4 linked regions of the Schizosaccharomyces pombe genome follow. The protein of the gene in region 1 interacts with the protein of each later gene in a pairwise test. Each region holds a gene or a part of one and is shown on either strand. Other genes may lie near its edges. The genes, in order: nup211, isu1, bis1 and cdc23.

Evidence for each region.
Region 2: the proteins of nup211 (region 1) and isu1 interact in a two-hybrid assay, tested with the Schizosaccharomyces pombe proteins (2 studies listed by BioGRID).
Region 3: the proteins of nup211 (region 1) and bis1 interact in a two-hybrid assay, tested with the Schizosaccharomyces pombe proteins (3 studies listed by BioGRID).
Region 4: the proteins of nup211 (region 1) and cdc23 interact in a two-hybrid assay, tested with the Schizosaccharomyces pombe proteins (2 studies listed by BioGRID).

The regions. Positions count from the first base shown.
Region 1 is NC_003421.2:1,563,916-1,574,274, forward strand, and holds nup211 (nucleoporin nup211), read left to right. Parts: upstream 1-1,634; 5' UTR 1,635-1,726; coding exon 1,727-7,240; 3' UTR 7,241-7,335; downstream 7,336-10,359. Other genes in the region: 3-hydroxy-3-methylglutaryl-CoA reductase Hmg1, read left to right, coding at 1-1,232; ent1 (epsin), read right to left, coding at 7,733-9,818, 10,343-10,359. UniProt on the Schizosaccharomyces pombe protein: Functions as a component of the nuclear pore complex (NPC).
Region 2 is NC_003424.3:516,033-522,454, reverse strand, and holds isu1 (Fe-sulfur cluster assembly protein Isu1), read left to right. Parts: upstream 1-3,503; 5' UTR 3,504-4,011; coding exon 4,012-4,590; 3' UTR 4,591-5,039; downstream 5,040-6,422. Other genes in the region: yfh7 (uridine kinase), read right to left, coding at 734-1,240, 1,322-1,522; rna4 (Prp4 family U4/U5/U6 small nuclear ribonucleoprotein complex subunit), read right to left, coding at 5,208-6,422. UniProt on the Schizosaccharomyces pombe protein: Scaffold protein for the de novo synthesis of iron-sulfur (Fe-S) clusters within mitochondria, which is required for maturation of both mitochondrial and cytoplasmic [2Fe-2S] and [4Fe-4S] proteins.
Region 3 is NC_003421.2:481,976-488,122, forward strand, and holds bis1 (splicing factor Bis1), read left to right. Parts: upstream 1-1,595; 5' UTR 1,596-1,609; coding exon 1,610-2,764; 3' UTR 2,765-2,922; downstream 2,923-6,147. Other genes in the region: rpl1702 (60S ribosomal protein uL22), read right to left, coding at 260-823; calnexin independence factor Cif1, read right to left, coding at 2,990-3,949, 4,002-4,004; wtf antidote-like meiotic drive suppressor Wtf9, read left to right, coding at 5,192-5,330, 5,498-5,743, 5,793-6,071, 6,117-6,147. UniProt on the Schizosaccharomyces pombe protein: Has a role in maintaining cell viability during stationary phase induced by stress response. May be involved in pre-mRNA splicing.
Region 4 is NC_003423.3:4,077,376-4,084,789, forward strand, and holds cdc23 (MCM-associated protein Mcm10), read left to right. Parts: upstream 1-1,681; 5' UTR 1,682-2,063; coding exon 2,064-3,845; 3' UTR 3,846-4,189; downstream 4,190-7,414. Other genes in the region: SPOM_SPBC1347.09 (hexaprenyldihydroxybenzoate methyltransferase), read left to right, coding at 75-929; protein sro1, read left to right, coding at 4,832-5,152; SPOM_SPBC1347.14C (uncharacterized protein), read right to left, coding at 4,904-5,269; centractin family actin-like protein Arp1, read left to right, coding at 6,562-6,578, 6,622-6,652, 6,722-6,786, 6,826-7,414. UniProt on the Schizosaccharomyces pombe protein: Required for DNA synthesis. Required for entry into or completion of S phase. Involved in DNA replication and seems to participate in the activation of the pre-replication complex (pre-RC) and in transcription elongation.

The sequences.
Region 1 (10,359 bases):
TTGTAATTCGCCGAACGGTCGTCTCCCGTTCATCTAGGACGAAGACACTTGAAAGCTCTAATTGCCCCGTCTATCATTACGATTACTCTAGGGTTTTGAATGCATGTTGTGAAAACGTTATAGGTTACATGCCCTTGCCCCTTGGTGTAGCTGGTCCTCTCATTATTGACGGTAAGCCTTTTTATATCCCTATGGCTACTACTGAGGGTGCATTGGTTGCTTCTACTATGCGTGGATGCAAAGCTATTAACGCTGGTGGTGGTGCTGTTACTGTATTGACTCGTGATCAAATGTCCCGTGGACCATGTGTGGCTTTCCCGAATTTGACGCGCGCTGGTCGTGCTAAAATTTGGTTGGATAGCCCTGAAGGCCAAGAGGTTATGAAGAAGGCTTTTAACTCTACTAGCCGTTTTGCTAGACTTCAACATATTAAGACTGCTCTAGCTGGTACTCGTCTTTTCATCCGTTTCTGTACGTCTACCGGTGATGCTATGGGTATGAATATGATTTCCAAAGGTGTTGAGCATGCACTTGTAGTAATGAGCAATGACGCTGGTTTTGATGACATGCAAGTGATCAGTGTATCAGGGAATTATTGTACAGATAAGAAGCCTGCTGCTATTAATTGGATTGATGGTCGTGGTAAAAGTGTTATTGCTGAAGCTATTATTCCTGGTGATGCTGTCAAATCGGTATTGAAAACTACTGTTGAAGATTTGGTTAAATTAAATGTTGACAAAAACCTCATTGGTAGTGCTATGGCTGGCAGCGTTGGAGGATTTAATGCTCATGCTGCTAACATTGTCACGGCAGTATATTTAGCAACTGGTCAAGACCCTGCCCAAAATGTTGAAAGCAGTAATTGTATAACTTTGATGGATAATGTTGATGGTAACCTTCAGCTTAGCGTGTCAATGCCATCCATTGAAGTTGGAACAATTGGTGGTGGAACGGTTTTGGAACCGCAAGGTGCTATGCTTGACTTGCTCGGTGTGCGAGGTGCCCATATGACCTCTCCCGGTGATAATTCTCGTCAACTAGCACGTGTCGTTGCAGCCGCCGTAATGGCTGGTGAACTGTCTTTGTGTTCCGCACTTGCTAGTGGCCATTTAGTTAAATCCCATATCGGACTCAATCGAAGTGCGCTGAATACTCCTGCTATGGACTCTTCTGCCAAGAAACCAGCGACTGATGCTCTAAAATCCGTTAACTCTCGAGTACCGGGACGTTGAGGGAGCAAGCTTGTTTTATAATATTGTCACATACACGATGATGACAAATTTTTTTAATTTTGATCTCCCCTAAAAAGTTACATCTTTGAACTGTTATGCCTCAGGAAAATTAGCTTTAAATTCTTTTCCATTTTTTATATATTCATCTTTTAAAAGAATATGGTATATCCATACAAGTATGTAGTTTACCTAGTGAACGCTGATTTATAGCTTAGGTAAGAAGACGTAAGGCAATGTATATTGCTTATGTCTAGTGACACAAACAAATGGATTATATTATACGGACTTATATTAGTTATCTCAATAAAGAATTTAAATAGATTTTTAATTGTAATGGTTTTATGACTTGAAATTGAATTTATTAGGGTATCAACTACCTCGTCGCTACACACCCATCGACTTACATTGCACCACCATAATAGGTAAGAACGTGTTTCAAACAAAGGTAGCGTCTCTAAACTGAAAAAATAGTTAGAAGCTATTTGTTTGAGGCAATGCACGATTCTTCCTGGACAGAAGCTGATATACTCGGGGTATGCAGTTTTCTAGACATACCAAAGACAAAAATTGATCCTTTACTTCAGGTGGACGCGTTTACATCCATATTAATACCTTTAATTAGTAAAAGCAAAGATTATGAAAGTATAAAAAATGATCGTATAGTTACAGAAGTCAATTACGAGCAACAATTGCGAAATTCGGAGAAGAAACTACTTCAATCAAACGAACGTTACGATTTATTAGAGGATGAGCGCAAGCTTTTAGAGAATGAACTCTCTCAAATCAAAGAATATCTTAGGGAGAAATCCTCTTCATATGACACTGTTTTGCACGATTGCAGTTCTCTCAAAAGTGTAAATGAGGCATTAAAACAAGCTCAGGATCAAAATTTGAAGCAAACTGCTCAACTTCAAAATCTTTTATCAGATAAAGAAAAGGAAGTTGAAAAGAAAATCACTATCATTAAAGATCTAAAGGATGCCCTTGCCAGTTCTACCCATCAAGTTTTGGAGCTTCAACATACACAACAAGAAAAAGCATCTTTGCAGACTAACTATGAGTTTGAGTTGCAAAAATTAACGCAGAAAAATTCGATTTTGGAAAATAATAACACCTGGTTAAGCCGAGAGCTTCAGGGTGTGAACGACAAATTGTTATCTCTTCATCAGGAGGCCTCTTTGGAAAAGTCTCAACTAAGTTCTCAATTATCTGACGCTGTTTTGGAAAAAGATGCGCTACAACGGAAAGTGAGTTCTTTGTCTCAACAGTTTACAGAAAGTAATTTACGATATCAGAATATTGTAGCTGAACTCTCCGAAATGCGAAAGCAATATGAGTTTTCGCAAGTTTCTTTTGAAAAAGAGATTTCTTCACAAAAGCAAATTAGTGAGTTGTGGATGGAGAAATGTGAGGATTGCTCTTTACGGCTCAAAGAGTTGCAGAACTCAAACGGCGAGTTGGAAAAGCTATTGGAAGCTGCACAATCATCTTTTGAAGAACAGCTTGAATCTCATAAGGAAGCAGAAGCTTCCTTGAAATCTCAAATCAATTTTCTAGAGAAAGAGGTATCAAGTTTAGAGTCTCAGCTAAAGTTGGCTAATGAGCGTCTTCGGCATTATGATGAAATAGAAATCTCAGATATGAGTGAATTGAAATACTCAAATTTACTAAATAATAGTATGAAAGGCTTTAAAGGTCAGTCCTCCGTCTCTGACTTGTATTCCGAGCGTTTATACTATAAACAGAAGTATGAGCAAACATGTCAAGAGGTTGAAAGGTTACAACGTAGCTATAACCATGTTATGGAAGAAGCGAATCTTCAGCATCCTTTGGTTAAAGAACAGTTTAAGCGATTTGCTCATATGCAACGGGAAATTGTTGCAATGAGTGAGCAATATCAGAAGTCATTGGAAGACTGTCAGAAAGCCAAGTCCCGTTACGAGCAATTAGAGACACTATTTAAAGATAAATGCACAGAGAATAAGCATTATGAGCAAGAGACCAAAGATTTAGCGCGACAGGTGCAAGTTTTACTTCATGAACTCGATTTGTGTGAGAACGGCATAGTGCTAGGCGTGGATAGTAGAAAGAAGATTAACTCCTATGTTGAAAAATCGCTCACTGAAGATGAAACTGATACGGATCAAATAATTTCAAGCAGGCTAGTTGTATTTCGTAATATTAGAGAATTGCAACAACAAAATCAAAATCTACTGTCTGCAGTTCATGAATTAGCTGATCGTATGGAGAAAGACGAAAAACCTGATCTTGATGGAGCCGAGATTCAAGAAGAAACACTGATAAAAGCTAACGAAACTATTGATCAACTTACTAAAATGTTGGAGGAGGTGAGCGATCAGTTACGCTACTCTTTAAAGGAACGAGACTTTTTTAGATCACTAGTTCAAGAGAATGAAAAACTTTTAGATATGGCGCCTGCAACTCCTAATTCCAAATTGAATACTAATTTAATTGAGCAGACTTCTTACCAGCGTTCGCTTATTCGACTTGAACAGCTAACTAATGAACTGGAGTCCCTTAAGTCAATTTCTCGTAACAAAGAAAAAAAGTTTGAGGAAGCTATCTCATCTCTCCAGCTCGAAAAATCTAATATTCAATTGCAACTTACCTCTTTAACATCTGAACGAAGCTTAGCCCTTGAAAAGCTAAATGATCTGGAAAAATCACTTGTTTTATCTGAAAGAAGTAAAGATGAACTTGATGAAAGCTATAAGTCTTTACAAGAGCAACTTGCTTCTAAGAAAATTGAAGTTCAAAATGTTTCTTCTCAATTATCAATCTGTAATAGCCAGCTTGAACAATCCAATCATATTGTTGATAATTTAAAAAGCGAAAACCTGCTTTTAACTTCCGTCAAGGATAAGTTGAAAGCCGATTTATCTAATTTGGAGTCGAAACTTTCGTCCCTGCAGCAGGATAATTTCCATATGAAAGCTCAAATTGAATCTTCAAATCAAGAGTATACGGCAACAGTGGACTCAATGAATAGTCGAATACTTGAACTTTCTAATGATCTTCGAGTTGCTAATTCAAAGCTATCTGAGTGTTCCGATGATGTTCGTAGACTTACTCTACAAAATTCATTTGATTTGAGGGAGCATCAAACATTGGTGCTTCAACTTCAGTCTAACATCACTGAGTTAAAACAAGACATAACATTGCAACGCACCGTGCGAAATCAGTTAGAAATACAAACCACTGAGTTGAAAGAGCGCTTAAAGTTTATGGAAGAACGGCAGGAGAACTTGCAATCTAAATTAATCGCGGCTAATAAAGACACGACACAAAATCCTGATAATGTTGAAGTCGAGGCTATATCTATTGAACTGGAAAGGACGAAGGAAAAACTTCGCATGGCCGAGCTTGAAAAGAGTAATATTCAACAAAAATACCTCGCTTCAGAAAAAACCTTGGAAATGATGAATGAAACCCATGAGCAGTTTAAGCATCTAGTAGAATCTGAAATTAGCACAAGGGAAGAGAAAATTACGTCCCTTCGCTCTGAGTTGTTGGATCTTAATAAGAGAGTTGAAGTACTAAAAGAAGAGAAAGAGTCTTCGTCCAAGGAACTTGCCAAACAACTTGAGGATGCTGTTCGTGAAAAGGATAGTGCACTTTCTTTCAAAAAAGATTATGAAAAAATTCGTTCAGATGCGGATCGTGTTATTACCTCTTTGAAAGAAGATATTGAAAAAGAAAGATCTCTAATGAAGGAGTGTCATTCTAATTACGAATCAGAGATCGTTAGTCATGGGCGTACCACTCAAAAATTGCGGGATTTACGTACTGAATTTGACGAGGTGAATACGAAATATTTAAAGCTCAAAGCAAATTTTGAACAGCAGCACTCAGGACTTTCAGGTGCTGAAAAGGATTGGAATATTCAGCGGAAAGCCATGGAAGATGAAATTAGCTCCTTGAAAGATTACATTTTGGGACTTGAAAATCAAAATAAACTACTACATTCGCAATTTGATTCTCTTAGTCAACAAATAACTGTTCTTCAACAGAATTCTTCTGAAAATTTAAATATATCTGCCAATTTAGAAGCCGTTCAAGATAACGATTTACGTGAACTTGTTAGCTACTTGAGGCACGAAAAGGAAATAATGGATAATAAATATGAGTTAACAATTCTGGATAATAGAGGTTTGAATCAACAAGTCAAGTCTTTGCAATCCACCGTTGATTCATTGCAACTCGAGCTCAACCGTCTGCAGTCTCTGCCTGTGTCAAATGACCAAACAGATACCCCCATTATCAGCGGAAGTCAAGAAGTTCAGTTACTTTATGAAAGTAATAGTGTCCTTAGAAAGGACAATGATGCTAAACTTGGAAAAATACAAGAGCTGGAGAAAGAGGTTGAAAAACTGAATGCTTCATTGAATCCCTTACAAACTGAAATAAATGAACTTAAGGCAGAAATAGGCGCAAAGACAGCAAGTCTGAACTTAATGAAGGAATACAATTCTCGATGGAAATTAAGATTTCAGTCCGTTTTGAACAAGTATGAGCGTGTTGATCCCACACAGTTAGAGGAGTTAAAGAAAAATTGTGAAGCATTAGAAAAAGAAAAACAAGAGTTGGAAACGAAACTTCAGGAGACAGCAAAAGAAACCGATACATTTAAGCAACAGGTTAATTCTCTAAACGAAGAGGTGGAAAATTTGAAGAAGGAAGTTGAGCAGGCAAACACCAAAAATACTAGATTGGCAGCTGCTTGGAATGAAAAATGTGAAAATTTGAAAAAATCCAGCTTAACAAGATTTGCCCATCTAAAGCAGGAATTGACCAACAAAAACAAGGAGTTAACCTCTAAGAATGCTGAAAATGAAGCAATGCAAAAAGAAATAGAGTCTCTAAAGGATTCCAATCATCAATTACAAGAATCGGCTTCCAGTGATGCTGAACAGATCACGAAGGAACAATTTGAACAACTCAAGTCGGAGAAGGAAAGAACTGAAAAAGAGCTAGCAGATTCTAAGAACGAGCTAGAACACTTGCAATCTGAGGCTGTCGATGCTGACGGTAAAACTGAAATTTCAAATCTTGAAAAAGAAATTCATGAATTACGGTCTGACAAAGAAGGACTTGTGCAACAAGTACAAAACTTGAGTGCGGAATTGGCAGCTTTACGAGAGCATTCACCGACCCAAGGAAGTTTAGAGAATGCTGATGAGATTGCAAGGCTACGTTCACAACTTGAATCTACGAAACAATATTATGAAAAAGAAAAGGAAACCGAAATTTTGGCTGCTCGCTCTGAACTCGTCGCAGAGAAAGAAAAGACAAAGGAAGAGTTAGAAAATCAACTCAACGAAAAGTCACAGAGAATAAAGGAACTTGAGGAACAAGCTCAAAAAAATTCTTCGGAAAATACTCATGACAATATTGATGACATGATTAAGCAGCAGGTTGAAGAAAAGCTTAAAGAAAATTCTGCCAACTTTGATGTTAAGTTGAAGAAGGTGGTAGCTGAGACAGAATTTCGGAGCAAAGCTAAAATATCTGTGTATGAGAAGAAAACTAGGGATCTTCAGAACAAAATTACACAACTTGAAGAAACTATTGAGAATTTGAATAAACAGCTATCCAATCCTGAAAAGACTGATGAATCTACGTCTTCTGTAACAGAAACAAAGCCTGTTACTTCCAAACCAACAGCTAGCAAAGCTGATGTTGGTCAGAATGCTACAGAAGCTTCGTCAGCCAAGAGAGAACCTTCCGGTAAATCTCTGAGTGCAAGACTTCAAGGAACAGGCAAACAAAAAGGTGTTCAACGACCCGCTGTTTCGCGTCCTGTTCCTATGAAACCAGACAGTGGAAAACTCTCAATAACTGGAGCTTCCAAACGAATTGCTACTTCAAAGAATGCTGCCCAAAACGCTAAAGAACTGTCAAGCACTGCTAAATCCGGCTCCCTTAAAAGACAACGTGACGATGCGAACAAAGGAGGATCCAGTTCGAACCAAAAGAAAGCAAAATAGATGTTTTCATATGGTTCATAAATCACTCTTAGGACTATTCATATTTAGTTAACATGATTTATAATAATGACATGAGTAAATTTTGTATTATAAAATTTTTGTCTTATTTGTATTTCTGATTCTTACACAGACTGGTTTTTGCTATTTCTTGATTTTGCAAAGTAAGTACTTTTTCGACTTACTTATTCCATTATTATTAGAGATAAGATAAGAAATGCACGCTAAAAAGTAAATTCACTACTTAAAAATGTTACCACGACTATTTGCAGAAGTACAAATTCAGTCAAAATCTACATATGAGTAAGAGAACAAATGTCAAAACTAGAATAGTTAAATTTAAATGGATTGTTAGTCCATGATAATTACAGAGAATAAAGTGAACTAAAAAACTCGGTCTTAAACAAATTGCGATAACTTTATACAACAAAAAAGAGAAGGACCATCATTAGGACGTTCATTAGGAACAAATAAGGTCGGAAGTGAGTGAATGGATTATAAATCAATTAGAGAGCCAACTTGGGGCTGCATAGATTGCTGTTGCATGCCCTGCATCGGTTGTTGATTTTGGTAATTGTAATTCTGTTGATTATAATAGGGTTGTTGCATGTTTTGTTGTTGCTGCATCGGTTGTTTATAATATCCGGTAGCTTGTTGCGATTGGAAAGGATTATGCGTGTTACCGGTTGCCTGAGCTTGAATAGTCTGACCAGCACTATTTGTAAATTTGGATCCTGTGTGTTGAGTCGGAACTCTGGTAAGACCAATATTACCGAAACTATCAGTTCCCATAGGATTACCAGTGGAGATTGCTTGAGCAATGTTAGAAAATCGATCGTCACCAGTCCGAACGGGTTTCATGGGTTTAGTAGCAGGAGCAGTAGATTGAGATGGCAAGTTTGAAAATTGAGCAAAAGGATTATTTGAGCCAGTCTTCGTAGGCTCCAAACGAGGAGCAGATTGTTGTTGTTGTTGCTGAAGTATTCCAGTCGATTGTGACTGTAAAGGACGACTGTAAGGATTATTGTTTCCTGTATAGCCGGTAGTTTGCCGTTGTAATCCAGTGGGCTGGGGATGAACATAACCAGTGTGGTTGGGAGCCATCATTGGAGCATTAGGGGTTTGACCAAAGCCTGTACGCTGAGGTTGCATGACAGGGAAAGGGTTGTTGGACTCAAATGGCTGAGAAAAGCCTGTACGTTGGGGTTGCATCATACCAGTACGCTGGGGTTGCATATACCCAGTAGGTTGGGGATTGAAGAAACCATTTTGCTGAGGTTGAACAAAACCAGTACGTTGAGGCTGTATAAAACCTGTTGCCTGAGGTTGAACAAATCCTGTACGCTGAGGTTGCATGAAACCTGTTGCTTGAGGCTGAACAAACCCTGTACGCTGAGGTTGCATAAATCCTGTTGCCTGAGGTTGAACAAATCCTGTACGCTGAGGTTGCATAAATCCTGTAGCTTGAGGCTGAACAAATCCCGTCGCTTGAGGTTGGACAAATCCGGTAGCCTGAGGTTGAACAAAACCAGTACGTTGAGGCTGCATAAATCCAGTGGCCTGAGGTTGGACAAACCCGGTATGTTGAGGTTGAACGAACCCAGTGTATTGAGGCTGTACGAACCCGGTATTTTGAGGACGGATGAAACCGGTGGGTTGTTGTTGGAGGAAACCGGTTGGCTGTGGCTGAACAGGATTTCCAAAGAAATCGACAGGTTGATAAGCATTTTGCTGATTGCCCATAAATGCCTGTTCTTGTTGTTCACGTTCACGTTGATGTCTTTGACGGGCTTCGTCTTCTTCTTTGGAAAGTTGGATGGCCTTTTGAAGCTCAGCTTCCGAATCGTTAGCCATGTTACGACGCTTGGCATCTTCTTCGGCCTGACGTTTAGACTCCTCAATAACACGTTGTAATTCTGGATCATTTTCCTCGGCGGAGTTGTGTTCAGCGCTCGGGGAAGGCCTTCTACTTCTTCGTCTTGAGCGTGAGCGACCAGGACGGCGAGAACGACTACGTCTCCTTGAGCGATGGTCACGATCATCGTCATCGTAACGACTGGCCCGACTGGGAGCGCGAGAAAGTCGTGATTCCTCGTAGGGAGCGCGATCATCATCATCATCGTCAAAGCGAGAGGAACGCGTTCTGTCTCTATCTCTGTCTCTCTCTCTACTATCACCTCTTGCCTCCTTCAAAGCGTGCTCGTCCTCCAACAAAGAAGTTATTTCTTTAGCCTTGGTACGAACGTTTTGGCCTTGATCATGACCATTGTCGTCAACGTAGACAAACTCACGCAACGTTGTGATAATATATATATTGTCTTTGGCCCACCGAACAACGTTTTCCGATCCATTGTGGAGACAATACTCGAGCAAGGATAACGATTTGAAAACATGTCGCCAGTTCTTTCCTTTGTCATTCAGACGACGATCTATAATGTCCATAACTTCTAGCATTTCATTTTGGTCATAGGTTAGCTCTGCTATCTCCGCCATGGCAGTGCCACTGGGACCCCATGAATCATTTGTAGTAGCATTTCTAACCTTAATTTGCGTATCTGTGTATCCCTTGGAAAAGTTTTTTCTGCGAATGTTAGTAACAATTCATAGAATATTGAATGGAGTGCATCCAAGTACGTGTATGCTCAGCACCACATGAGAGATGAGGTGTGTCAATCGGGCACGTACGCAGCAGGGAGGCAAATCAAGAAAAACTAGAAATCAATGAAGAAGAAGAAGCAAATTTCAGATGAGATGATGGGGAAGATAGAAAAGAAGGATTGAACGACTTTCCAAGTTATTCCAACTTCTTTTCACTATTCTAATGATATGATAAAAAATACTAGACTAGAAAGTACAAAATTACGCCAACAAATTATAAGCTAACGCTGAAAATGCCATGGCTATGGAAAGAAATGATAGATTGAATAAAATCCAATTCTAAAATCACCCAAAGCATGCATTTCATCAGCTTTTTGGTCAATTGAACAAACTTTACGCTCCTTCATCCCCGCTTGATGGGTTTTCCGCGTAAAAAAATCATCCAAACGCCTCAATTCTGCGACCTCTTTCTCTTCTACCATTCTTGGGAATTCCCTCTTTACTTACACTGATCGTACAGCAGC
Region 2 (6,422 bases), on another chromosome or scaffold:
TTTCTTGCTTAGAAAAATAATAAAAATAAAAAAGATATGAGTTTGTATGGATCAGCTGGTACTGGAGTTTTGATTATTACTTGAAGAGCGCTTTTTTTTTAAACCGGTTTGGGCTTAACATATGTGTTTGGAACTTGAAACAAAAATAGATTAATAGTTTCTTCTGAAAAAAAAATTCTGGAGGTCCTTTATTGCTTTAGCAAAGATAAAGCACATAAAGCTTCATTGAACCACTTAGATAACCATTTTTGAACATAAACTTTTGACGGATTTAGATACTATATCAACAAAAGAACAAGAAATAATTGACAATGCTTTTTTGATTTAAGCCATCTTGCAGTTAGATGAGGGGTACATGTGAATGATGGTTTGTGCATTGATGGAGTACCACAGAGTAGAAATTTACTTGATTAGTATTGAATATACTTTTGAAGTTATCCAAACCGAAGGATTTGATGCATCAGAAACAATAGCAAAGTAACTTCGATAAAGTACTCTCAAATTTAGTGGCATATATGTGTGCTTCCTGTTCGCCTTTATTGAATTGTGGTATGGGACAATGTGGTTATTTTGATTTCTTAGTTTTCCAACCTTTTTTTTTTTTTTTTTAAATTTTTGAACACCACCGTAGTCATAATAGCACCGACTCAGCGTAATCAAATTTTTTCTTATTATTCTTGATAAATTTCACGAATGATTACATTCTCATTTATTTATCACTCATGAAAACACATTACAAACTAGATGTTTTAACGGTTTTCAAACGTAGCTGCTGTAATACAATATCTGGGGTAACCATGTTCTTCTCGACAAAAGTGAGATTAATCATATCATTTCTGTCGGTCCTCTCAATTGCCTCTTCTTCTGTTGCGCATAATCCTGAAACCAAGTGACGATGCGCAACACGAGCACGGGCCACTGAGTGCTCTACAGGGAGGTATGCCTTAATGTCATATAATTTGCATGCGTCTGACCATGGAGGTTTGTTGAGCAAAAGGTAATTACCTTCAAAAATTAAAATTCGATTTTTGGGCTCAACGCAAATATCGTCGACTACAGGGTCACCAATTGCATGATCAAATGAAGGGGCATAGAGCTCTCTGTCAGTGATCTTTTTCATAAGCCGAACTAAGGAGTAGAATAAGTCTGCATCAAACGTCCATTCTGCTCCACGAAGAGCCCGGGCCTTTTCTGGGTTGTCGAATCGATCAAGCTCTTCCAACGAATAATGAAAGCCATCCTTTAAAAAATGTTAGCCAGAATCACAAAAAAATCGTATTATCATTTCATTTCCATTTCGCATAGTAACAGAAAAACTTACCATTGGAATTATTTTTACGATCTCCGATCCAAATCTTTCATTCCATGCCTTTGCGAGAATAGCACATAATGTTGACTTGCCTGAACCAGGACCTCCAGCCAAACCGATTAGAACTCGTTGCTGGTGCTTCAACAATTCAACTGCACGGTTGTAAAGTTCGTCATAAGACGATACATCTGGGGCATCTACTTGTAAAGCCATTTTATCATACAGCAGATGAATGAGTAGCGTAAGGGATGAAATAATCAAACAATAAAGTTAAATATGAGTTTTGCAATAAAAGAGAGGGAATTAAAAGAAAAAAAAAACAATAAATTTCAATTATACAGCTAATCTATGATAACACGATTAGCATCAAATATCTCTCATACCAAACTAGATGTTTATTATAATTGATCTTCTGTTTACCAGTACGTTGTAAAGGTAAACACTCACTTACAAATGATTAATTCCCGATTTGAAGATAAATTCACAATAACTTTTGATGGAGAGAAGACAAGTGTGGGGATCTCATGCTCAAAGCCGAATCCCTTTTAAGTTTCGAAATTCCAAGCATGAGTCCAATTCGCACAATACGCAAAGTTGCGTTTGCTTCGCTTTACAAGCTGGATAGAACGATTTCTAAGCTACTAAATTATAGCGCAGCAAAGGATAAATCCGTAGGAGTCTGTTATTTTTAAAAAATGCAATACAACTTCAGCATCCTCAACATATATTGCAATGTAACGTTAATATGCACAATCAAAAATTTACCAATTTGAATGAATAGCATTGCACTACGTTACATTCAACGTTCTTGAGTTCTGTTGCTATACACTCCAAGACACTTGTGGAGCATGTGAGATATAAAATTAAGAGAAGTCTCAGATACCACTGATTCAATTTCGAAATACCGATATTTACATTAAATAATAAAAACAAAATTTAAAAAATAGTTATAATTTCTCATATTTATCACACTCCTCAATTGCTTGGAGGCCCATTACTTTATTGCAATCTCCAACGGCCTTCCTATCTTAATTAAGGATGACGGGCGCAGTAATGTTATATCGCTAATTTACTGAATGCTGTAAAAAACTAGTCATCCTTTAAAAAAACCGTTAGACCGCTAAACTGTTATTGGTGAAATAGACTGTTTCGAATATTACTTTGTTACACATCAAATGTATAGTGCCTTTTTGCAACCTGTTCCTTTTTTTTTCGCCCAGCTCCGTTATTCCGTGATGCGGAACCCTAGTTCCAGCAACTATGGACTCGCTCTTGCCTATTGGAAAGTATGATCGTAGGTTAGCGGCCTTGGCAATGTTATCGGGATCGATTGTTGCAAAAAAACATACGCAGTGCAAGAGGTGCATTAAAAAAAATAAAAAAAATAAAAACGGCTTAACCATTTCTTATACAAACTTCTCTTTTTGAAAGATTATCCTTACACCTTTTTTATTTACATGTATAATCCAAACCAGCAACTAATTACATATCGAAATAAATGCAAAACAGATAAACAAATGGAAACCAAAAAACCGTTCAAGCATGTATCCCAGCTTCTAGTCGTGCATCCACCAACTTTTCATCATCATTTTTGTTAAACATACAAGCACCCTACCCGTTCTCTGCCGTCTGTCTCATGCCGTCCCTTCCACCTGTACTCCCTAACTGACTACTTTCTTTCTCGCTAACTACTTCTTGCCTGCTATCTGATATTCCTTCCTCAGTTAAAGGGGGACGGCATCTTCTTTCCAATTTCCATATCCCACATCCCACAACCTTGTTTCGAATATACTGTGAACACATATCCTTCACCATCGAACACTGGAATTTCCATATTGTGTATGGAAAACAACTTTATTTGTCTAGCTGTACATCATACTTGCATAAGCTTCAGACTGCTTTGTTGTGGCCTCCCCAAAACTTTTTCTTCGTAAATCTAGTAATACCGGATTACGTTTTAGTCCCTTAATTGGCGTTTACTGCTGAAACCGCATTTCCGATTCGCTTGCCACTATTGCCTTCCCTATTTTATTCGCTACCATCCACCTTAAGCTAGCTTTGTGATTTGTTAGGGAAAAACAGTCACATTTTCGACAAACAGAATTTCTTCTCATATCAGATGAGATAAAGATGGCCGAAAACACTCAAGACTGACTTGCACTATATATAGCAGGCACTGCTCTCAAACACTACTGACTCATACAACTCACCAACATTTAATATTGGACGTTTTGAACATAAATTTAAAGTTGTTTTGAAAAATAATTTCATTGAATAAAGCAATTCGTTTTGTGTGCTATAAGACTACATAACTCTGACACGATTTTTTTCAACCACGTCTTGATTGTTTATTGTCGATACATAGTTGAATCGATTTTTCCTTTCATCGAGTGTACATAGTTATTGTCATCTTATTAACCCGGTTTACAAATTTCCTTGCGTTACCCTTACACACTTTTTAACGTCATTTACGTATAAGGAGATTTAAAGGCAAAGCTGTTATTTTTTTTTATATAGATCAGATAAAATCTGAAACTTTGAAAACTCCCTGCCATCCCCCAAAAACACTGAAAACGTACTCAAGCCTTTTACTTGATACGTTTTGAAAACAAATCTAGTTGGATTTGTGATACAGATATTTTGTTAGATCTTGACGTGATTTGTCATCTGATTTTTTTCTTTTTTCTTTTGTTTTCCCTAAAATGAGTGTCTTCCGTCGCTCCGTTCAATGCGTTGGCGTTTTGCCTTCAATTTTGGCTCAACGCTCTTCTCTTCTTGCCCGTCCAGCGAATTTACAGTTTCTCAAAACGAACTCGTCAAAATTCGTCCCTCAAGTCACCGCAAACGTCTCTCGTCGTATGTACCATAAGAATGTTTTAGACCATTACAACAATCCTCGGAATGTGGGTACTTTGCCCAAAGGTGATCCCGATGTGGGTATCGGCTTGGTAGGTGCTCCCGCCTGTGGCGATGTTATGCGCCTTGCTATTCGTGTCAATAAGGATGGTGTTATTGAGGACGTAAAGTTCAAGACCTTTGGTTGTGGTAGTGCAATTGCCTCGTCATCCTACGTTACCACTATGGTCAAGGGCATGACCCTTGAGGAGGCTTCTAAAATTAAAAACACCCAAATTGCCAAAGAGCTTTGCTTGCCTCCTGTAAAACTTCATTGCTCCATGCTTGCCGAGGATGCCATTAAAAGCGCTGTAAAGCATTATCGCTCTAAACAATTAACGCCTGTTGGTACAACTGCTGGCGCTATTGAGTCTGCTACCGCTTAGAAACTTGATTGTAAAGTCATAGCTTTCATCTGTTTAAAAATCTGCTAATTTCCGCTCCGCTTTTTGACCCCGCCTCCTAATTTTCTACCCGGTCCTTTTAATTCCTAAACTGCGTACATGTAAACAGTGTTTTCCACATAAGATTGCTTGTCGACTTTGGCGTAAACATATGGTCTATGTGTTTGCTTGCATTCTTCCTCCCATTTAGCAATATATATTGATTAATGTTTCTGCACTATATGTATCTGGACTAAATTGATGCAAGTGCTTTCTTTCAAAATGCTGCTGATGCTTATTTGCTTGTTATTGTGGTTATAAAAATCATTACTCTGTACATTTTCCCCTTCCTTTTTTTTTAGTTCCTGCTATAGCATTTTATTCGAATCTTTATACGTCTAATGAAAAATAATTTAGAGTCTTTTATTTCTAAACTATAAGCTGTTTCTGTGTTTGCTTAAACTTTAGTAGTATACATGAATATCATCTTCTAGCTATTAAACCATGTAATATAAATGTTCATATATATTCATTGTTTCGTTGCCCATCACGCAAATAGTCAGAAAGGACTGTCTTGCCTATATTAAACTCATTACCAAAACCGTTTGCCACACCCAAATTTAAGGGTACCATAACTTGATTGTACGATCGTATCCTGATGAGATAAATCTGTCTCCGTAACCGTCAACACTCATAACCTTTTCTTCGTGTCCCACCATACTTTTAATCAATGAGCAGTTCAACGGGTTCCAAAGCTTTACGCAGCCATCATAACCACTCGTAGCGATGAATCTGTTAACACCTGATTCAATATAACGAACGTCTGAAACAAGAGAAGAATGTGCGGGAATAGTATGTGCCAATGACACTTTCCGCAAGTCCCATATTTTCACAGTATCATCGGCTGAAGAAGTTGCAAGTTGGTAGCCGTTTGGACTCCAAGCCATCGCGACAATTTGACGAATATGTTCATCTAATACCATTATTGATTTGCCTGATCGAAGATCCCAAATCCGACCGATAGCATCATTACCACCTGAGCTAACTAACGACCCATCTGGCTGACAGGCGATTGAAAAAATCCCTTCCGAATGACCTTCTTGCATAAGCAACTCAACGCCTGTATGTACATCCCATAACCGCCATGTAGTGTCGAATGAGGCAGAAACTAAGTAATCACCACTTGGATGAAAAGCAACTCGACCAACACGAGCCAAATGTCCTTCCAAACGTAACAGTGGAGTAGATTGACTTGCTTTCCACAAACAAACAGTATTGTCTGCGGCTCCAGTCGCTAAAGTCAGCTGCTCAGAATCTGCATCCCATGCCTGACATAGAGGATACCAATCCAAACCAGAAACTCGGTCGGTATGGCCGCGAAACAATTGAACCTCTGAGAGGTTATCAGAATTCCACACCTTGACCTGGCCACCCCAGCTTCCGCTAGCAAAATGATTTCCATTATTACTGAATCTAACAATGGCTATTGGTCGCTCACCACCTATCTGAGAGCCCATCAATTCAGCCTTTTGTAAATGTTCGATTGAAGACTTTCCGGAAAGTACAATTTCAGGTACTGGAATCTCGGAAATTTCCCGTTCTTTTTTTAATCTGAGCTTTGCCTTTTCCAAGGAGTAAAGAGCTATTTTTTTACGAGCAACTAATAGTTCGTGACTTCCTTGAACATACGTCTCCTTCTCAATATTTTCAGAAGCCCCTTGGTCTACATCTAATGGATTGTCTCCTTCTAGGGACTTTTCGATCATTAATTGCTGAAGCCTTTGGCGTCGGGCTAAGGCATCTTCACCAAAATAAGTTATGGGTTCACCATAACG
Region 3 (6,147 bases), 1.1 Mb from region 1:
CCATGGAACTCATTTGTTTTGTTTTGTTATTTTTTTTTTAATTTTAATCTAATTAATTTATTCTTTTGGTAACATTCCAGCTACTTGTTTGCTTTCGTATAGATTTTTTTTTCTGTTATTATTGAGAAGACACTTTTATAAAATTACAGTCAATTTCTAAGGACTACCCACAACATAAATAGGAAATGAAAAAGAAACTCATATTACAACCGAATCCATTCGTAAAATCAAATAGGGACGACCTTTTTCAAAATCTATTTTAAGCAGAAGTAATGGCCTTACGAGCAGCCAAATTTCTAGCCTTGGCACCTTGTTTCAAAGAAACACGGGAAACGGTGTCATTAGCCTTGGGAACTGCTTCCTCCTCTTCGGCAACAATGATTTCAATGTGGGAAGGGCTGGAAAGGTAAGCAGTGACACGACCGTGTGCACGATAAGTACGTCTGCGTTGCTTGGGAGCAGCATTGACTTGAACATGCTTGATGATGAGTTTATCCATGTCCAAACCCTTAGCTTCAGCATTAGCCTCGGCATTCTTCAAAAGGTCGTAGAAGAAGTTGACGGATTTAACGGGCCAGCGAGCCTGGGTAACGCCAAATTCCTTGCCTTGGGCAGTACGACCAACACCACCATTGAAACGACGGAAAGGAACGGCTTGCTTGTGCTCCTTGACGTTGTCAAGAAAGATGAAGGCCTTCTTCAAGTTCATACCATTAATGGTAAAGGCAACTTCACGAGAGTTCTTGAAATGAGTTCTCAAATAGGCACCACGAGCCTTGGCGCATTTGGTCTCAAGAGCAGGAGCTGCAGAATAACGGACCATCTTTAATTTACAATTTGTCAAGGCGTTTGCGCAGTACAAAATTTGTATGGCAGCGTTTGTCTAGGATTCTCTGTGACTGTTTTTTAGGGTAGTACTGTTTGGTGGTGCATTGGTAAAACTAGTGCTGCAACGTATTCTGCTATTTGTATACTGCGAGCTAGACCGTGCACCTTAGTATAGCACTATTTTCTGAGTAAATAAATATTGTACATGAATTAGGTCTATGAATACTCAAATTGTGTCTATCAAACTACGATCTCAATGAAAAATAGCAGAGTTTTATTTTCCTTGGAAGTCTACTTTATGATATACAAGGAAAAATAGATACCATGTTTAAAATGTTGATGCAAGTACATTTGGTAGGTGAAATAGATAATCAACAAAAACAGTTTCTTAGGCCGCTAGTTGTGATTGTGATGAAAGAAATGTATGTTTTCAATGACAGAGTATTTTTTTTTAAATCAATAAAATAATTTTATCTGATGTTCTACTAAAACAGAGTAATTAAAATAATCAATTTGAAAGTTAGTGGGTCGACGCTGTTTAATCCCCATAACTTACTTGTAATTGTAAGTACGCCTTAACTGTAGAACAGTAAATAGGTAAATAGCCAAATTTGAGCAATTGAGCAATCGTTATCTTCTTAATGAGAAAGAAAAATAATTCAATAATTTGTTTTGCTAACCATCTAAAACCTCACAACCTTGTTTAGTTGCTTTTCATGTCGGTGTCCTAGGCATCCCTACCACACTTCTGGAAATTACCAATTGCCAACATCTTGCATACATGTCCTTGGCAAAAAAGATCGATGATGATGAAAAACAGTTAGTAAAACCTGTGAATAAAGAACAAACGTACAAGAAACCAATTCCACTTGAAGAAGATGACTACATCGAGGGTTTAAGCTACATAATTCAACAACAATATTTTCCTGACCTTCCTAAGCTGAAGGCTGAAGTCGTGCTCGAAAGTGAAGAAGTAGGAAGTTTTGATGCACAAAATGAGTCAAGGGATGAAAAATTGAAATACCTCATTGCTAAAAACTCAGAAGATCCATTGAGAAAGAGGCTTCCATCGTTAGCTATTCATGAGATTACCAAAGCACAGCTGGATGGAGAAAATAAACCGATTAGCGTTGCTTCCTATCAAAATAAGTTCACATCAGAAGACAATGCCTCTTTTGGAGAGCTAATGGAAGATGAGAGTCGATTGAGAGCTGAACAGCATAAACGACGATTTGGGGTCCATTCACAACAGCCATCTAACTCCATTCAAACTATTGGTTACTCAAATTCTGATGCAATCAAGTCAATTGCATGGAAAGAGAAAGACAAGAGTATTAAAACTTGGAACTACCAGCCAAAGAATGCCTTAATGTATACTCCAGAAACTAACCATTCTTCATCCCTGTCTCAGATAAAAAAGCAAAGCACTGAAATTCAAGCGGATGCAACTGGCTTATCGCAGTCTTTTTTAGAAGCAGCCAATCAACCTAGTACGGACCCAATAGTCCCCCCGTCTGTCAATGAGACTGATGCTTCTGTCAATGGATATCCTTTAGTTGATGTTAATTTTGGACAAGCAGTGGGATCCTCTTCGAAATCATACTTCAACATCCCAGAACGGCCTCGACGAGAGAGACTACATGCTATGAGAGTGCGCGATATTCGTTCCCACTCCACGAATACCACCATTACATCAGTGGATTCTGCATCAACTGCTTTAAATTCTTATTCTACTCCTAACTCTGTATCCAGAAAACTGACCAATTTAACTCCTGCCGCCCGACGTCTTGTCGCACGTTCGTATCTCAGATCACCTTTACATGGTTCTTCTCCGTCTGCTTCTCGTCACACCGCCCTAAGGACTTCCATTCCCAAATTCTCATGGACTCCTACCCCGCGGGTAAAATCGACTGCCCCTACACCTAAAAGGGTTTAATGAAGGACTTGTCTAGTTTATGTAGTAATTAACTAGAGCAAGCATAATGATAAGTGCATTGTACATTCTTTAATTTATTGATGATTTCTAGAAATTATAGTAGCTTTTAAATGGTATGAAATATATGAATTTATTAATTAACCGACCGTGTTACCAACCTTGCTCGTAATGTCAACATTCGACACTTTAGTGAAAAATAAAACTTCATTTCGACTGATGAATAGTTCAAATATCATCTTTTTTGGCAATTTTTATGGATTTATTTTTCTCGTAATGCCAAAGGGAAGACATTGCGAATAGACGAATTTCATATAAAATGCTTTGCTTTGGTAATGAATACCACTGGTGTAAAAGAGAGGAGCGGAGAACAAGAATGCTACCATCCTTTAATTTTAAAGAATGAGAAATTGCAGGGATTTTTAACTCAACATCATTTAGTTCCCCTACGATGATAATCACAACAAAACCATATTTAATAGAGGAGAAATTAGATTCCATAGACATGTAGCCGTTAGAAACGCTTTGAAGAGAGAAGTTAGGAAAGACGCCAAATCTTAAAGCTGAAGGAGCCAATTCAAGTTTTAATAAAGCCTGGTGGAAATGTGGTGCATGCGCTTTGATTATTCCACTTGCGAAGCGAAACAGAGGTGCGCATGCTTTTACAAAGCTTCCATATTTTAGGGACCTCACACTATCAGAGGTTTTCACTAATGCATGTGACTTTTTGTCAAACGTAGAGCCAAAAACATAGGTATTTTTAGAGTCTGCAATATCAACCTTTTGAGCAGATAAAAACTCTTGAATAGTTGAGTATAGGTTCTCCGTAAAAACAGATCCTGAAGAGGAAGAAAGCTTATATAAAAGCAAATTTTTATGCTTATCACCAATTTGATAACCAGAAGCATCCTCTTCCGACATAGCATGATTAAAAGAAATCTGATCTATTGTATTTTCTGATGGAAGACTTCGATCGAGAGATTTTGACAAACGTTTCAAAGAAACGTCTTTTAAAATTTTTCTATTCTCTTTTTGTTTTTGAACAATCTCTGCTGCCTTTTGGAGCTTTCGTGCTTTTAACTTTTCAGCTCGCACCTCTGAACGTTTTCGTTTCGGCTGCTTTTCTCCCACTGATGTTTCAGCAGAACCAAAATTCTTTACAATGCTTTCTGTTATAATTTCTTCACTCTATTAAAGTATAAGCCTTCTATAAGTTATAACAATAATAATATTTTCTTACCATTTTCACTTATTCTTCTCCACAGAAGCACGTTTTAGAAGGGTTCACGAATTCCTCCTAGTAGTTAATATGTACTTAACAGCAATAATGGAACTAATAAAGGAAGGAGTGTTTTACGCCTGCTTTTACAGATGATTGTAAAAATGGAATTTGAAAATACTAAAATAATCAAATCTCGAAATTCACGAACTTGGAAATGCAATAACAATTTCTTTCTGCCAAACTTATAGCTACTTAGGATACTCAGGCAGAAGCAGTAATTGAGCTTACTAGTGCACAATTCAGTAAAATTTTATGCTTTGTACCAATAAATGAATGCTTAATTAAATGTAAATTTAAGAGAATCTCTCGTTACTACATCAAGCTATGACTGCCGCCAACTTTAACATCGTAGATGATACCAAACCACTTAGGTTCCTAAGGAAAATTAAATATAAAAAAAAAATAATAATAATAATAATAATCTATACTACTTGAAATGTTATTGAAGGCTTGGAAATTTACATATTTAAGTAAAGCCTCATATACAAAAGCCACTTTATTATGATCGATACTGAACTACTCAATTCTCCATTTAAGGGCGGCATTTTAATGAAATTGTCAGCTACGCAGTTTGATATCTGTTTAACGATACATTGAACTGCAATGACTCTCTTGTGAAACTACAGCATAGCGGTATGCATTTTGTTAACTAAGAATATTATATTTATTGTTATAGGGATGTCTAATAGTATCAGTTACCGATTTAGCTAATAACTGAACTGAGGAATGAGACGCAGCTGTAATTCCATTTATAATCTTCCCAATCTTTGTTCTTAACTGATGTCTATATTAAAAAAGATGATCTTACAAATACGAAACTAGTGACCCGCAACGTACTGTAACAATTATTACAGTATGAAACATAAGGAAAGCTAAGTTGGGGTGAATAAAAAGGCAGTGACAGAATAAATGTGTCAGAAGCAATCCACTGCCTCGTTCAGTTTTTTCGTTCTTCTTTTTTTATGCCATTGTTTGAAGGAATTAGTTGGAAATTTGTTTGAACGATTTTATTATTTTGTTAAAAAGTCTTTGAAGTGGTTGGAATTGGACTACAGAGCGAATATTCTTGATTTTGCTGTTTCGTTTGTCGCAATCATAGCAATTAATTCGCGCATGTGTTTTATTAAATAAAGAATGATCTTGATGAAATGAAGAATAATTACACTTCTTTGAAAAGTCCTCTAGATGAAGAAGATGAATTGAAGACAGATCATGAAATCGATTTGGAAAAAGGACCACTCCCAGAATATGATTCGGAGGAAGAGGGCGCATTACCTCCATATTCAGGTAAGAATTGTAAATAATAAGAAAGGAATTACTCAATGGAAAGTTGAAACTTGCCATCTTGTCAAATTGCATGCTTTGGTCATTGTTTACAGTCGGCCATGCAATGCACACAATTTGATACATGCTCTTTCTTTACTAAAGTATTTCAATCATATTAATTTAAACAGATCACGCACTTGTAAATAATCCTCCTAACACACATAGAGAAAACCATTCTTCTGGGACGACAGATAATTCTTCCCCTTTGTTGATAAAACTGCTAATATCATTCACTTCAATCATTCTATTCAATGCTCCAGCAGTTTGTTATCTAAAGTATAAGGACGCTTTTTTTAAAAATTATGGTGCAGTGGAATGGACATTATTTGGATTTTGGTGTTTTGTTTGCACTTTGGCTTTAATATTCTTGACTTGTAAGTGAGACAATGGGGTTATTCTTACCTTCAGTCACTAACTCATCAGACTTCTATGAAACTTGGACCAAGGCAGTTAAAGTAACTGTAATTTCCTTGGCACAATGTGTAAAAGTGACTGCAGTTTTCTTGGCAAAATGTGTAAAGGTAACTGCGGTCGGCTTGTACAACTCAAGGGAAAAATGGGTAGTAATAATTTGGCTATTATGGGTAGTCATTTGCTATACACTTTTTCTTCGCGCCAAATTCGGTAATTTGAACTTAGACAAGGCTCTCATCTGTTCTACATGCAGTATTTCAGCTGCTTTACTTTTATTTTTACTATATGGTATGTGAAGTTATGGAGTTACCATTACTGACCGCTAACACGCAGTTCGTCTTCCATTTTGGACACTCAAGCATAT
Region 4 (7,414 bases), on another chromosome or scaffold:
ATTATCTTTTTTTTTAATATTCCTATTAGCAAGACTTCACCGTTCATTAACAATATAAAAGGAACTAAAATATCATGTCGGATATAGTTTATGCCAACGTGTCTCATTACAACAAAATAGAAGCATCGAAATATGACAATCCAAGTACCTTGGCGATTTCCAAAGTGATTTCTTCAAAAATTTTACAGTTTGAAGACAATTCCGAAACCAGCCTAAGACATGATCTCCCAAAATATGATCAAGATAGGCTGCTTTTAACTTCGGATGATGATTTGACAAATGTAAATAATTTTTGGAAGAAAAGTGGTATGAGTATATTGGATTTTGCTTGTGGAACTGGTTTAATTAGCCAACACCTGTTCCCTTACTGTAAACAAATTGTTGGCATAGACGTTTCCCAAGACATGGTGGACGTTTATAATGAAAAATTTAGAAAGATGAACATTCCCAAAGAAAGAGCCTGTGCATATGTTTTAAGTTTGGATGATTTGGATGGCAACGGCGATGAACCATTTTCTACTGAATTTGATGCTGTTGTATGCTCCATGGCATATCATCATATCAAGGACCTACAGGAAGTGACTAATAAGCTTTCTAAACTTTTAAAACCTAATGGTCGATTATTTGTCGCAGATTTAATAAAGGGGGGTGATACTTTTCATGGTAATTTGCATCCTGATGAAATAGCTAAGCTTGGCGTAGCTCATCATGGTGGATTTACTCCGCAATCAATTTTGAATTTATTCAAAAATGCATCTTTGTCAAACGCTGAAGTCATTGGTAAAGCTCAGGCAAATGTGTGGGTCGATGAAGCTAAGTATCAACGGTCAACCCAGTCAAAAGACGCTAAAACCTTAGATTTAGCTAACGGAGAGAAGCTGTATGAGGTAAAATTACAGCTGATGGTTATTAGTGGTATCAAAACATGATCCCCTTAATTTTTAATTAGGGATAAACAAATGAATGGTCTGGGTACCCGATTTTAGAAGGTGAAGCAATCAGACCAGGAATTGCTTCATTTAAACAAGTATTGATGTCCATTAAATTGATAGCTTATGATAACTTATAACACTGTGAGTCCCGGTGATTCATTTAAACGAAACTACATACTGAGCATTCAGAAAGGACTAAACTTCATTGAAACGACAATTTCGAATATGATCAACCAAATATTATGTGGGATTACAGGCTTTTTTTATACAATACTGGAAATTTCGTTATATGATTTTTCTTCATAAGTTGGTTTCAAAAGAACTGGCCAACTGTTGTCACAAAGATTTTAATATTAAGCGCAAATTTGAATAGACAACGGAAACTAGGCAATCTCTTCCACCAAATGTAAAAAAAAGTTCGACGTTTAAAATTTAACTGTTCAAAATACCCCTTTTAAATAAGTTACTATATGCATTTGAATACTGTAGACACATCTTTTATGATTCTATATAGACAAATATCGTAAGTTTATATTATGTAAATGAATTCGTGATATCGAACGTGTATACTCATTAAATTAGCGCATCTATTTTAACCTTTTATTATTCAAACTGCAGTTATGTTGTTTACCTATAGCATGTGTAGTATAGAGAGGATTTAATTTTGCACATTATGCTTGTTTATGCACTACATTTTGCATCCTTAAACACATGTCCTTTAGATGTCCGCTAACTGTTTACATTCCTATATGTTTAACCGCGATTTTTAAGTATTGGAAAATAAGAATATCTTGTTAAAAAGATTTATAATTATTACTTGCTTCCTTTTCCAGGACTAAAGAATTTCCTGTTTTTGGCACTAAACTTTTCAACAATATCTTCGCATTTCAAAATACAAATGTGGCAGTATTAAATTTATCCTGTTATTTGTTTTGGCTACTCATACAATAGAGAAGAAAATTTTATTGATCAGAGTTTTTTTAATTTCCTGAAAAGCTAGTTTTCTAGGGTTGGGTTGAAAAGTTTCAGTATTCGTGAGAAATTGACTATATCTAACAGGCGGGGGGTTTTTTTTATCATTGACTTTGGAGGTTTAAGATTAAGAGGAAACCAAGTTTAATTAATGCAAGTATGCATGATCCCTTCATTGCAGAAGAAAATGACTTGGACCTGGAAGAAAAGAGGTTACAGAGGCAGCTAAATGAAATTCAAGAAAAGAAGCGTCTACGAAGTGCTCAAAAGGAGGCTTCTTCGGAGAACGCTGAAGTTATTCAGGTTCCAAGATCTCCTCCTCAGCAAGTTCGTGTCCTTACAGTCAGCTCGCCTAGTAAACTAAAAAGTCCCAAGCGATTGATATTAGGAATCGATAAAGGAAAGACGGGGAAAGATGTTTCATTAGGAAAAGGGCCTCGAGGGCCTCTACCAAAACCATTTCACGAACGACTTGCAGAGGCAAGGAACCAAGAAAGGAAGAGGAGCGATAAATTGAAAACGATGAAAAAAAATAGAAAGCAATCGTTCCAGAGGAAGCGAAACATACTTGAAGATGGAAAAAGTGAAGAGGAGAAATTTCCTATGAAATGTGATGAAATCGATCCTTATTCAAGACAAGCCATTGTTATTCGATACATAAGTGATGAGGTTGCTAAGGAAAATATAGGGGGAAATCAAGTTTATCTCATTCACCAACTACTCAAACTAGTAAGAGCTCCTAAATTTGAAGCGCCAGAAGTTGACAACTATGTAGTTATGGGCATTGTTGCCAGTAATAGTGGAACCAGAGAAACTGTGAATGGGAATAAATATTGTATGCTAACACTGACTGACTTGAAATGGCAACTGGAGTGCTTCCTGTTTGGAAAGGCGTTTGAACGATACTGGAAGATCCAGAGTGGTACTGTCATTGCGCTTCTCAATCCTGAAGTACTAAAGCCAAAGAACCCAGACATTGGACGCTTTTCTCTGAAGCTGGATTCTGAGTACGATGTACTTTTAGAGATTGGTCGCTCCAAACACCTTGGCTATTGTTCCAGCCGAAGAAAAAGCGGTGAACTATGTAAACATTGGCTCGACAAGCGTGCCGGAGATGTATGTGAATATCACGTTGACCTCGCTGTCCAGCGGTCCATGTCTACGCGAACGGAGTTTGCTTCAAGTATGGCGACTATGCACGAGCCTCGCGCACGACGTGAAAAGCGATTTCGTGGACAAGGGTTCCAAGGATACTTTGCTGGGGAAAAGTATTCCGCAATTCCTAACGCAGTAGCTGGTTTGTATGATGCAGAAGACGCCGTTCAGACCGAGAGGGAGCGCAAGGAACGATACAAAAAACAACGAGCGCAGGCTGAACGCGAGCGTGAAATTTTGGTGCGATTATCGAAGCGATGTTGCGCTTCCTCTTCGTCTAGCTCTAACTCGAATAACCTCTCTACGGGAATGTCGATGCGAACACTCGGCCATCAGTATCTAAATTTACAAGGTTCCGGCGTTAAAAATTTACATGACAAGGGTAATCCCACTGCTCTTTCTAAAGATAGCGAAATTGATTCATCGACGAAAAAACCATCCGTTCTGGCCTCTTTTAATGCATCTATAATGAACCCTAAATCCTCTCTACCATCTTTTTCTAACTCTGCTATTCTCGGCACTAACGATGCGGCATCAGGGACACCCGTTCCACAAGATACTACATCCACCAAAGTTTCCCCAGCGGTAGTGTTTACCTCTTCGCCGAGGATTTTTTCCCCCCAAAGTCTACGAAAAATAGGTTTCGATCCAACGCATTCCGCAGATGCATCTACAACGCACTCCACAGCGACTGGACTTTCACGATCCGGCTCCCTAAAAAATATCAAATTCCGATATGAATTTACTGAGAGTGATGATGAGGATGACTTAGAAATAGTTCCCTGAATTTTACGTTGTTTTTCTATACATTATGATGAAAATTAATTATTTAAATTACTAACCAACTTACTAATTAATTAGCTAGCTAATGGATATAGCTATGATTTCAAATGAATGTTCTTTTGTTTACATGCGACACACTTTGCTATCATGAAACTTTCAACCCTTTGTTAAACCTTTCTTCTAAATCCTAATCCTTAGTAAATCCCAATGGAATATTTGAAACGCTTATTAAACACAGTCGCTCTTTTCATTTGTGATGTCAACTGTTTGAATTCAATGTGCGAAGTCTCCCTTTTTTGTTCTGCTAGCTTCTCTCTCATACAAGAACGGCCGTTACAGCTTTTGACATCACATTGTTTATTAATCAAACGAACGTAAGCTTACTTTCATATGGTATGATGGGCTTGTAAGCAATACTAAGATAGCCAGCCAAACTGAGGTACTGTCGACACCTTTAGCTTACGATTGCTTTCGTCTAGGTATCGGACTTTACACTGCTAGTCGCCTATTTTAACGTTGCGCCGTATGGAACGGGTATCGCATTCTTATCAGTAAGGAAAGCTATCTGAATTCGTCACAAAGGAAAAGGCAAATAAATAGTCTAAAACTATATAAATGCGGGCTTCCATCTAAGAGACCTCGCCATCCAACAATTGTTGCGTCCCACCTAAACAGTGTCTAATCAAAGTCAATTGCGAGACATTCTAAAGTAAAAAGTTAATACATTTTAGCTACTACTAAATACTTCTTTTGATATTCTTTTTAGTGAACAATAAAGAATATTGGTTTGATCAACACGGTCATCTTCAGAAAAAAAATTTTTTATTCGTTGGTTTAATTAGTTAAGAAAATTTTTTTTTTCTTTCTTCGCTGACGTCTCGATAATTAAATCTGCGAACGGTGATACTTCTATTCTACACATTTCTATTTAATCACTGTTATTTTCTTTTCTTTTTAATTTCATCAATAAACATTTTTGATTCATCGCTATGTTTTCTATTCTTAAACAAGGTGTCATCTCCAAGTCTCTTTTAGCCGCTACCTCTTTAAAGGCAACGGCTTCAAGATTTTCCTTCTCTACTAGTGTTGCTTCCCGTGTTGACGGTACTAAGAATGGTTGGTCTTTTACCGCATCCAATGTTGCTGATCAAACCACCGATATCGGCATTAACTCTGAGTCGGCTATGAGCTGTAACGACCAAGAGCAACCTCTTTCCTTTTACGTTCAAACTGTCAGAGATGACTTGAACTCTCCTAATTGGGGAGCTGAGCAAAGAAAGGGTGCATTTGATTGGGAAGTAAGCGCTTAAACCCGAATATTGTATACAAGAAGAAAACCCGATTTCCGTTATGATCAGAAGAAAATAATAAAAAGGGAAAACAAAAAATTGGAAAATTGAATGTTTTATCTTATTCGATAAAAGCATTAAACAATCTAACAATGCAATCTTTTTTAATTCGTTATTTTCGCTTTTCTTTTTTTTTTACTCTTCTTGATGTAATTGTTAAGACATGGATTTTATTTTTATTTTTCTAAGGAATTTCGATTATTGGAATTCTTTTACCACCCCCATCCCTCTTTTTATTACCAGTTTCAACACATTGGTTCCCCTGCTTTAGAATGTTTATCGATATAAGCCGTGAACGGTTCCTTGCTTTTACCATTTTTAAATGAGGCAAGACATATGTATTATTAGTTTATACCCCCAAGACTTGTTAGTCTTTATATTATTAGTTTGTCTACTTGTTGACTATAATGATAGTCGCTGATAAAGTTGAAGTTTCCACCTTAATCTTTGTTATTTTATATCCAATTCGCCATGGTCACATTGATTTGATTGAATTTTCGGTTGCTGGATTACAAAAAAGAAATGCCAAATGCGATACAACTGTTACATTTAGATTCAGAATAGGAAATTGTTTGTATAATTAAAAAATAGAAATTGTTTATTTTAATACATTACTACTGATTAATGAGTAGATGAATGGTGGAAGATTGTAAACAATTATGAAGACAAGGTCAGCATTGTCTTTCCGTCTAGCTAAGAAGCAACCCGATGTGCAATTTATAAAGTAGTGCGGTTTAGTGTTGATACGTTATCTTTTTGATAGTTTGATTAGTTATTTCGAAAACACGTTAAAAATGCAGTGAATTTTGTACAGTCTTCTTTACAATCCATTCAACAACAATTACGAGTACGAGCGGCTTTATGATGGGTCTAACCAAGATGTAAACATAACCATTATTAAGCATATACTACAATTCAACTGAAGAAACAAATTCAATCGAAAGGGTTGTCGTAATTTCTTTATATGGTTTTCATTCAAAAAGCCTATTGAATGAAACAACTTATGTATGATAATTGCAGGGTATAGTGATACATAACGAAGCTTAATACTGCTAAGTTTCTTGTCAAGCATGCTACTTTCTTTAGACAATTCCCAATTGCTTTAACTAATAGCTGTTAGTGACCAATTTCCATTGGTTTAAGGTATTTTTTTAAAAAATTGGTACGATTGTTGTTCCTCCTGTTAGTATAAAATTTCTTGGCAAAGCCCAAAACCTTCAAAGTTGCGTCTTCTATTACTGTTTACCCGCCATTTCCTTCATTATTGCTAGTGCTCTCAAATTTCAAGCCGCTTAAAGAATAATTTAAACCCTTAATAAAACTTTCTTTTAAAACCTCCGAGTCTCAACTTTGATATTTCAGCTTTTTGGATGACTGTTACTGAAATGTGCGTGTCTTTTGAAAGAATTCTATTTATTGACGCGTTTTAGCTTTGATAATCAGCCGATATGTATCGACAATGTATGCCAGACTCTTTTTAGCCGGCTATTTCCTGTTAAACTGTCTAGTTATATTGACAAAACTATCTAGGGCTCTGGATTTATTAAAGCTGGATTCGCTGGCGATGATATTCCCAAATGCCTTTTTCCGACTTGGTATGAAGTTTATTTCTCATACTAGATACTAATATACAGTGTTGGAAGAATTAAGCATGAGCGTGTCATGCCAAGTAGTATCCAAAAAGATATGTTTGTTGGTTCTGAGGCTCAAAATCTTCGCGGGTTGCTTAAAATTCAACGTCCAATTGAACGGGGAATCATCCAAAATTGGTCCGATATGGAAGAGATTTGGAGCTATATTTATTCAGATCAACAGCTCAATACTTTACCGGAAGAACATCCCTTGCTTTTAACCGAACCTCCTTTGGCTAACATCCGAAACAAAGAAAAAATTGCAGAGTATTTTTATGAAACGTTAAACGTTCCAGCATTGAGCTTTTCCTTGCAGCCTGTATTGGCACTGTATGCCTCCGCACGTACAACTGGCATTGTTCTTGAATGTGGAGATGGCTTGACTCATAGTGTTCCTATTTATGATGGGTTTTCCATTCCATCAGCTATACAACAAGAGGAAATTGGAGGTCGTGACGTTACAGATTATTTGCAATTGCAACTTCGAAAATCTGGCCACGAACTCGTCAGCTCGGCGGAGAAAGAAATTGTCCGGGAAATTAAAGAAAAATGTTGCTACGTAGCATCTGACTTTAGATCAGAAATAGAATCA